2 linked regions of the Cricetulus griseus genome follow. The protein of the gene in region 1 binds, or shares a complex with, the protein of each later gene. Links are inferred from orthologs where the notes say so. Each region holds a gene or a part of one and is shown on either strand. Other genes may lie near its edges. The genes, in order: Grk1 and Rcvrn.

Evidence for each region.
Region 2: the proteins of Grk1 (region 1) and Rcvrn are in contact, whole or in part, in an NMR structure (PDB 2I94), measured with the Bos taurus proteins. The link is inferred for Cricetulus griseus from reciprocal best matches to the Homo sapiens genes GRK1 and RCVRN. Residues at the interface, in NP_776598.1 of Bos taurus: Phe3, Gly4, Leu6, Glu7, Val9, Val10, Ala11, Asn12, Ser13, Ala14, Phe15, Ile16; in NP_776590.1 of Bos taurus: Lys22, Trp31, Ser34, Phe35, Glu38, Cys39, Phe49, Ile52, Tyr53, Lys55, Phe56, Phe57, Tyr86, Leu90, Thr93, Ser94, Phe188, Glu189.

The regions. Positions count from the first base shown.
Region 1 is NW_023276807.1:67,387,296-67,391,809, forward strand, and holds the start of Grk1 (rhodopsin kinase GRK1), read right to left. Parts: upstream 3,097-4,514; coding exon 2,398-3,096; intron 1,091-2,397; coding exon 963-1,090; intron 1-962. UniProt on the Homo sapiens protein: Retina-specific kinase involved in the signal turnoff via phosphorylation of rhodopsin (RHO), the G protein- coupled receptor that initiates the phototransduction cascade.
Region 2 is NC_048600.1:81,579,857-81,582,863, reverse strand, and holds part of Rcvrn (recoverin), read right to left. Parts: intron 1,114-3,007; coding exon 1,002-1,113; intron 1-1,001. UniProt on the Homo sapiens protein: Acts as a calcium sensor and regulates phototransduction of cone and rod photoreceptor cells. Modulates light sensitivity of cone photoreceptor in dark and dim conditions.

The sequences.
Region 1 (4,514 bases):
CAACAGCACTTCCTTCGCAGCTACCTTCTCTGAAGGACCCTGAAGTTTGTCGGCTTTTTTGCATTCTTTCTTATACATGCCAGCTCAACACTTTACAGGGAAGCAAAACTCATAGCTAGAAGATATGCTACAGGGAGGTTAGGTGCAGACCAGAGGGCTGGAAGATAACCAGAGGCCCTCGGGAGTGGAGGATAGAACAACCTGCAATGCTAGAAGCACTCAGCATCCCTTGCAGCTCTCTTCTCCTTCTATGGGATTCTCACACAGACTGATTGTCTAGCCTTACATTACTTATCTGAAGGAAATGCAGATGGCTCTGCTTGAGAAGTGATGTAAACAAAAACAGAGGAAGGGAGAGACATGGGCATTGCAGGTTATAGTTCCCTTTAGTGGAGCCCTACACTCCCAAGGCACCCCAGGGTCTCACTGTGTTAGCCCCATGTACCTGGTACCCAAGAATCTCATCATTTTAACTTTGTGTGCCAGTTACCCAGGGTCCCACCATTTCACCCTCCTGACACTGACTTGGTCATTATTTGTTTCTATTTTACACAACAGGAAACTGAGGTAAAGATTGGTGAAGTCACCAAGTCAGTGAAAGCCAGTCATCTGACCTCCTCAAGGATGCAGAAACAACCTCAGAGCACCATCAGGCTCAGCCAACCCAGGCACCATCAGGGGTGGCACTCTCCTATGTAGGCAACAGGCAAGTTGGCTCTAGCTGGTCTTCCAGATCTCTATTCTTACAGGACTGGGCACTGATGGAATTGTCAATTTTTATTTCTTAGTCCTCTCAACCCATCACAGCCATCCACAATACCACACGCCCTCTGTCATCTGTCTCCAACAATCATGGGCATGCTCAAGAGTGTGCAGTGACAGATACAGCCTAAGTCCTGGGGCCCACTGGACATGAACTGGGTACCCTAGTTGAAACTAACCCCAGGTTTGTATACCATTACCTTATGTCACCTCCATTCATGATGGTCATTACCAGACAGAGGTCAGTCTTGGTCTCAAATGCATAGGCCAGAGACACAATGAATGGGCTGTGAACTTTGGCCAGAATCCTCTTCTCAACCATGGCACCCTGGAAGCAGAGTTGTGACCCTCAGTCCTCAGGAATGCACTGTGGAGAACAGCCTGCATTCTGGCCACAGCACAGGGCAGGCTTGCAATATGTGAGATCTGGCATTCATTCATTCATTCATTCATTCATTCATTCATTCATTCATTCAGCCTTGGCATCCACCCTCCCCCTGCACCATGCTCGCTCCACCATGGCTTGTACCCAGCTAACTCCCAGTGCAGCCCAAGTTTCTGGTAGACCCCGCTTTATCGTTCATCTTTATTCTAAAGTGTGGAAAGGATGAGGACAGTAGGCCAAGGTGATTCTGTATATGTCCCACCAGATCACTGAAATCAGAAAAGATTCAGTGTTGTATTGGGTTGCACATAGATGTGAGTGACCTTGAACTCAAATTATAGTTCCATAAAACTGGAGTTTTTTTGTTTGTTATTTTTGAGACATGGTCTCACTATGTAGCCCTGGCTCTCCCGGAACTCTCTATGTAGACCATTGAGCTAACAGAGATCCCGCCTGCCTCTGCCTCCTGAGTGCTGGGATTAAAGGTGTGTGCCACATACCTGAGCATAGAGCCCTTCCTTAAAGACTAACATTAGTCCGCCATGAAGTGCAGTCCCCAAGGCCCCTGCTAAAAGTACCTGGATTTGTCTGGCACCCCCTACCTGCTGCTAGCACCTAATGTTTGACCTTTCACTGAGGGCTCAGGGGCCTGCTGGGTCTGGTGTCAATCCCTAAGAGTTTCACAGCATTATCTATACTGTACGGCAGGGCTGTGTCCCTTGGGCAATAAGCCGCTTTCACTGATCCTGCCTTAACTAGACACTGACGCCAACAAAGACGGAAATAAAATACTGGCAGCCTGCCTATGTCCTCCAGCCATTCTTGTCCCCTGGAAACCTGTGTTCAGGAAGAGTAGTCCTGCATGCCAGCATCACAGATGGGTTGTGTGCCTCGTGTAGACAGTGCCTGCCAAAGTGATGTTCGACTGACAGAGTCCCACCTTACTTTATCCTGTACGAAATCACAACAGGAACCACACCTTGAGGAAAGGTTTCTAGATAGCCAGATGCACTCTCCAGACAGCAGCTGCCTGCAACTGGCTCTCCCCATGAACTTCTCCTGAGTGTGGTGCAGATTGACAATGGCCCTGCCAATGGCTGTCTGAGCTGGGGCGGGGTGGAGGGGGCATCCAAATGACAGGATACATGCACAGTAGCTAAAGCCTATGTAGAGCTCCACAGGTGGGTGGCCGGCATCCCACCATCCCTCCATCCCAAGAGCATCTTCTGCTTGCTGGGCTTCCTCCCTACCTGGTAGCCCTTCCTCTTCTTCAGCCGTTTCTTGTTGAGCTTCTTGCAGGCATACATCTTGCCAGTCGCCTTCATTTGGCAAGCGGACACCTCCCCAAAGCCCCCTTTCCCCAGAACCCTGAAGTCCAAGAACCAGTCTTCGCCTATGGGCTGGGCTTCCAGCCACTTCCACTGGAGGAACCTCAGGAAGTACAGGCTTTCAAGGTACTCCTGGAAGGGGGCCTGGCTCAAGTGGTCCAGTGTGGCCTGCAGCAGAGGCTGGAAGAGGCCATCCTGACTCCCAGTTGGCCCTTCCCTCACTTTTGCCACCATGCCCTGCTCCAGAAAATTGCAGAAGAGTGTGGCCTGTGGGTCCAGGTAGTCAGCCAGGATGGCCTGTGCCTTCTGTGGCCGCAGGTCATCATCGGCAGTGTCATAGTCCTCAATGTCCTTCCAGAGCTCCAGGGCTGGCACATGCTTCTCATCTGTCTTCAGGAACTGTTGAAAGAGCCTCTTGCCAATGGGTTGCTCTGAACACAGGCTCTCAAACTCTAGGTTGAGGTTTTCACGGAGACCCTCGCACTTGGACAGTGGGGGCAACCGGAGCTTCGCCAGATACTTCTTGTCCCGGGAAGACGGGGTGCTGCTTCCATCAAAGCTGCCACGGGCAGCGATGAAGGCGGAGTTGGCAACAACAGTCTCCAAGGACCCAAAATCCATCTTGATGATGTCTCGTGTCCACTTCAAGTGTTAGGACCCATAAGCTGAAGGGAAGCTCAAGGCCCCTGAAGCCAAAGCAGGCCTGACCCTGTGCCCTTGGCCTATGGCCTGTTCCTGCCCTTGTGGGACAAGGGAGGCATGCAGCTGTGGCCAGGATGCTTGGGGAGGCACTGAGAAGCCCAGGGAGACCAGGGCTAACAAGCATCTAGCTAAATCCAGCCCTGGGGTCACTGAGGACACCTTAGGGGTGACCAAGCAGGTGCCATAAAAAGACAATCCTCTAAGCTGCTCCAAATCGGATTAGAGTTCAGCTTGGCTCTCTCTCCCTTGGTGTTGCCTTCGTGCTCCCAAGGAAAGGGCACACCATAGACTCCTGGAAGCCCCCAGGAGCAGTTCTGTCTTTCCCCAGCCCTGGCAGGTGCACAGGACCTGTCTATATCCTTCTGGAACATGGGTCTGCAATAGAGGGCAGGCAGTCCCAGGAGCAACCTCCATCTGCAAAGATGGTTGTCTTTCACACTGTTTCATTTTTATCTTTAAGAGAGAAGCAGGAGAGAAGCTACCTCACCCAGTGACAAGTTTCCCCATCTGTAGGTGAGATCGTGGATATTTGATTGTACTCAACTAGTCTTCTCCTTGAAGAAGAATTGCTACAAGGTGGTTAGAGGACAAAGACAGGGTGCAGGGGAGCCACAGACCACCACATTGAGTCCCTGTCAAGCAGGAAGATTCATGAGACACAAGCCTGGGATGCACCTAGGACACAGGGACTCAGGTGGGTACACCTGAGACAGATTGGAAATATCAGGGACACATTTGGGGGCACACTCAGAACCAGTTTAGACAGTGATCACACCCAGGCCACACATGGGAATGGTAGAATCAATGGGCATGTCACCATCTCCTGGGGATCACAACTGTCATGTCTGTAGGTACTCCTGACAGTTTAAGGAGGAGCCACGGGGAGGGAGCACTTGCAGGGACGAGAAAGAGAAGTCCTGTAGAATGAATGAAATCCCAAATCAGGAGGCTAAAGCTGTATGCAGCAGAAGAGTACTTCAGGTGGGGACAGAGTTTCCTGTTGTGACTGTAGGAACCTTCTGGTGAATGCCAACCACCTCCCCCACCTCCACCTCCTAGCATGGGCTTGTGACAGGAAGATTGGCAAGTAAATATTTGAGGTAAACAATATCTCACTGTCCCCAAGTGACCTGTGCTAGTCCCAGCCCCGCCACTTAGCAGCTGGTGACCTTGGACAGACAATATCTGATTCTTGCACCAATCAGGACCAAAGGCAACATGGTTCTCAACCATGCCATCTTGCCAGCAGAGCCACTCAGCATACTGAAATCCACATTCCACCTGCCTTAGAGGGCCTGGCCGAGGAGCTCAGGCCTCCATTGCTGGCAGGCTCCTGA
Region 2 (3,007 bases), on another chromosome or scaffold:
AAGTCAGTCTGTCTCTGTCTCTCGGTCTCTGTTTCTGTTTCTGTTTCTGTTTCTGCCTCTGTCTCTCTCTGTATGATGATACCAATTCTTGTACCGTATCCTATATGGCCATGTGTGCCATTGGACCAACAGCTCCAGCTGCCACATTCTGGAATTCACCCCTCCTTCAAGCCCCAGAGGCTGCTTCCAGACAGCCACTAAGCAGAGAGAGGACATCAAGAAGCTGAGAGAGGACACCTTAATGATTTTGCCAGCACTGTCTTAGAGTGTCACAGCCCAGGTCTTTTTACCTGTCTTTCCTCCCTGTCCTTCATCCCTGTACTGATTCCGGGATTGGGGCCAAGTCCTCATGACATGAATCTTCCCAGTCCCTAGGTCCCTCCCTGGTGGCTGTCTTCTCAATAAATGCCCGTCAATGTAACTGAATCTGATCCTTTCTTGGTGGGATTTTGGGATCATGGAAGCTAACTTCCTGAGATCTCTGCTGAGTGAAGTGCTGTTTTCTCCTGTTCTCACTGAGCAGGGAACATCTGGACAGCAAGCAGCCAGAAGAGATAAAAGGCTGCATTTCCCTAAACCAGTCATTGTGTATGCATGGCCAGTGAGCCTGCACACTTTACATTAGTTCTAGGCTAAAGACTGGCAAAACCAACACTCCAATACACATGAAGCTGAGGCAGGAGGATTACTAGTTTACTGCTAACCTAGCATACAAAGTGTTCTCCTTCCTTCCCCCAATCCCCAGGCAGCGAGTAGGTTTTGTAATAGGAGTATGCTGATCCCCCCATTACTAGCATCAGCTGGAGGGTCGTAGTAGACCTAGCCTGAACTGACAAGCGTCTGGTAGACCACTACCCCTGACTTTTGAAGATAGCTTGGATAAAGTGTGGTGACAAAAAGTGTCCCCCAGTCCTGCCTGAGCACTGTGACTCAGAAGAGGCAATCCTTCTGGAAACAGCAGACACCGTAAAGTCGGAGGTAACAAAGACAAAGGGATTCACCATCATCTTTCTTTCCAAAGAATGTCCAGATCTTCTCAGCCCGCTTTTCTGGAGTGTTTTCATCATCTGGAAGGTGCTTCACATCCTCAGGCTTGATCATTTTGAAAATAGCCTATAGCAGACCAAGGGAAAGATCTTGTCACAAAGAGGAGTAAGGGCTTGGTTGTCCTGAGAAATCCATGTCTCACACCACACCCCAAAATCTACCAGGGTTGGATTACTTAATTTTCTAGCCCAAATTATATAATTCCTAGAGGGTGCTAAGCTATGTGACATTGGTTGTAATAATGATTTTTGAACTATTGGGATTATACTAAAACTTAAGAAGTTTCTACATATTGGAGAAGACAACAAAGTAAGATTACCTTGGGGTAGGAGAAAATATTTACAAACCTTTGATAATGATTACTTAGGGATTAGTATATAACATATATGAAGAAAACCTGCTACTCAGTGCTAAAGCAGTAAGTGGCATTGAGGGTAGTAGTATACACCTTTAATCTCAACACTTGGGAGAAAGATGCCAGCCTGATCTACACAGGGAGCTCCAGGCCAACCAGAGATACATAGTAAGACTCTGTTTCAAACAAACAAAACCAATAAAACCAACCACACACAAAATCAAACAATAAATAACTGAATTAAAAACAGACAAGGGAACTAGACAGACATCTCTTTAAATAAATAAATAAATAAATAAATAAATAAATAAATAAATAAAATAGGGATGGCCAACAAGTATGTGAAAAGTCATCAACTTCGTTAATCATTAGGTAAATGGAAATCAAAACCATAACAAGTTATCCCTTCCACCTGTTGGGATAGCTACTCTTGTGAAACCTGCCTCATCTGTGTCTCTTGTCAGATGGGGCTGGGAACATGGCTCAGTGTAAAGCTCTATGAGGCCCAGGTTTGATTCTCAGCATACAACACTAAACACTCCCACCTCAAACAAAGATGAGAGGTAAGTGTTGGAGAGGGTGTGTAGAAAAGGAAGCCCCTGGTCTTTATTTGGGCCACCACATCATTTCTCTTTCTTGATGCCCAAACAGCCTGGAGCATCAGGTGCCCTCTAAAGGTAAGGGGTTTACAGTCCAGGTGCCTACCAAAGCCCCACAGGTTCTACTGAATCAAAATTCCCTAGGGCGGGCCCCAGGCACCATCAACACCTTTGAGACCTTGGTACAGGACAGTGACTATGGAGGAAAATTTGCTCTTTCATGTACCATTTGAGTCTTCTGAGTAGATGCTATAGTTTTGTTTAGAAAAAAAAATAGAAACTTCCCAACAATAATCCCACAGCAGCCCTGAGGTTGGAGTTTGGGAGCCATTAGCACAGTCCCTGTCTCCCACAGGCTGGAGAGAAGAATCAAAGGGCATCTTCCACTGGGCGTTGGTGGCACACGCCTTTAATCCCAGCACTTGGGAGGCAGAGGCAGGAGGATATCTGTGAGTTCCAGGCCAGCCTAGTCTTCAGAGCGAGTGCCAGGATAGACTCCAAAGCTACACAGAGAAACCCTGTCTCGAAAAACCAAAACAAAAAACAAAAAAACAAAACACAAAGGTCATCTTCCATGTCTGCAAGGCATTCTAGTTCTGCAGCAGGGCTGGCCTAGGATCACAAAGGCTAACTTCTGTGGGACACTCACATCACTTGTGTTAGCATTTTTAGATTAATTCTCAAGAGAACCTTACAGAGAGGATATTGTCAGTCCCATTTTACAGACAGCAAGCAAACTTGCAAACATCAAACTTGCCCAAAGTTACCCAGGGTAGCATTGATTCTAACACAGGCAGCTTGTTCTAGAACCTGTATGCTTGCATTTTACCCCAGTTTGTGTATATTGTTTCTGAAGATCATAGACTAGGCTGAGGAGGAGGAAGGGAGGTGTGAACAAGACTTGCAGAGGTCTGCTCAGGGACACAGAAATCCCCTTAGGTACCCTACACTCAGGAAGGAATGCAGAGAAAGGCTGGGTCCCTTCAGCCCCTTCTCCCTCTGATTG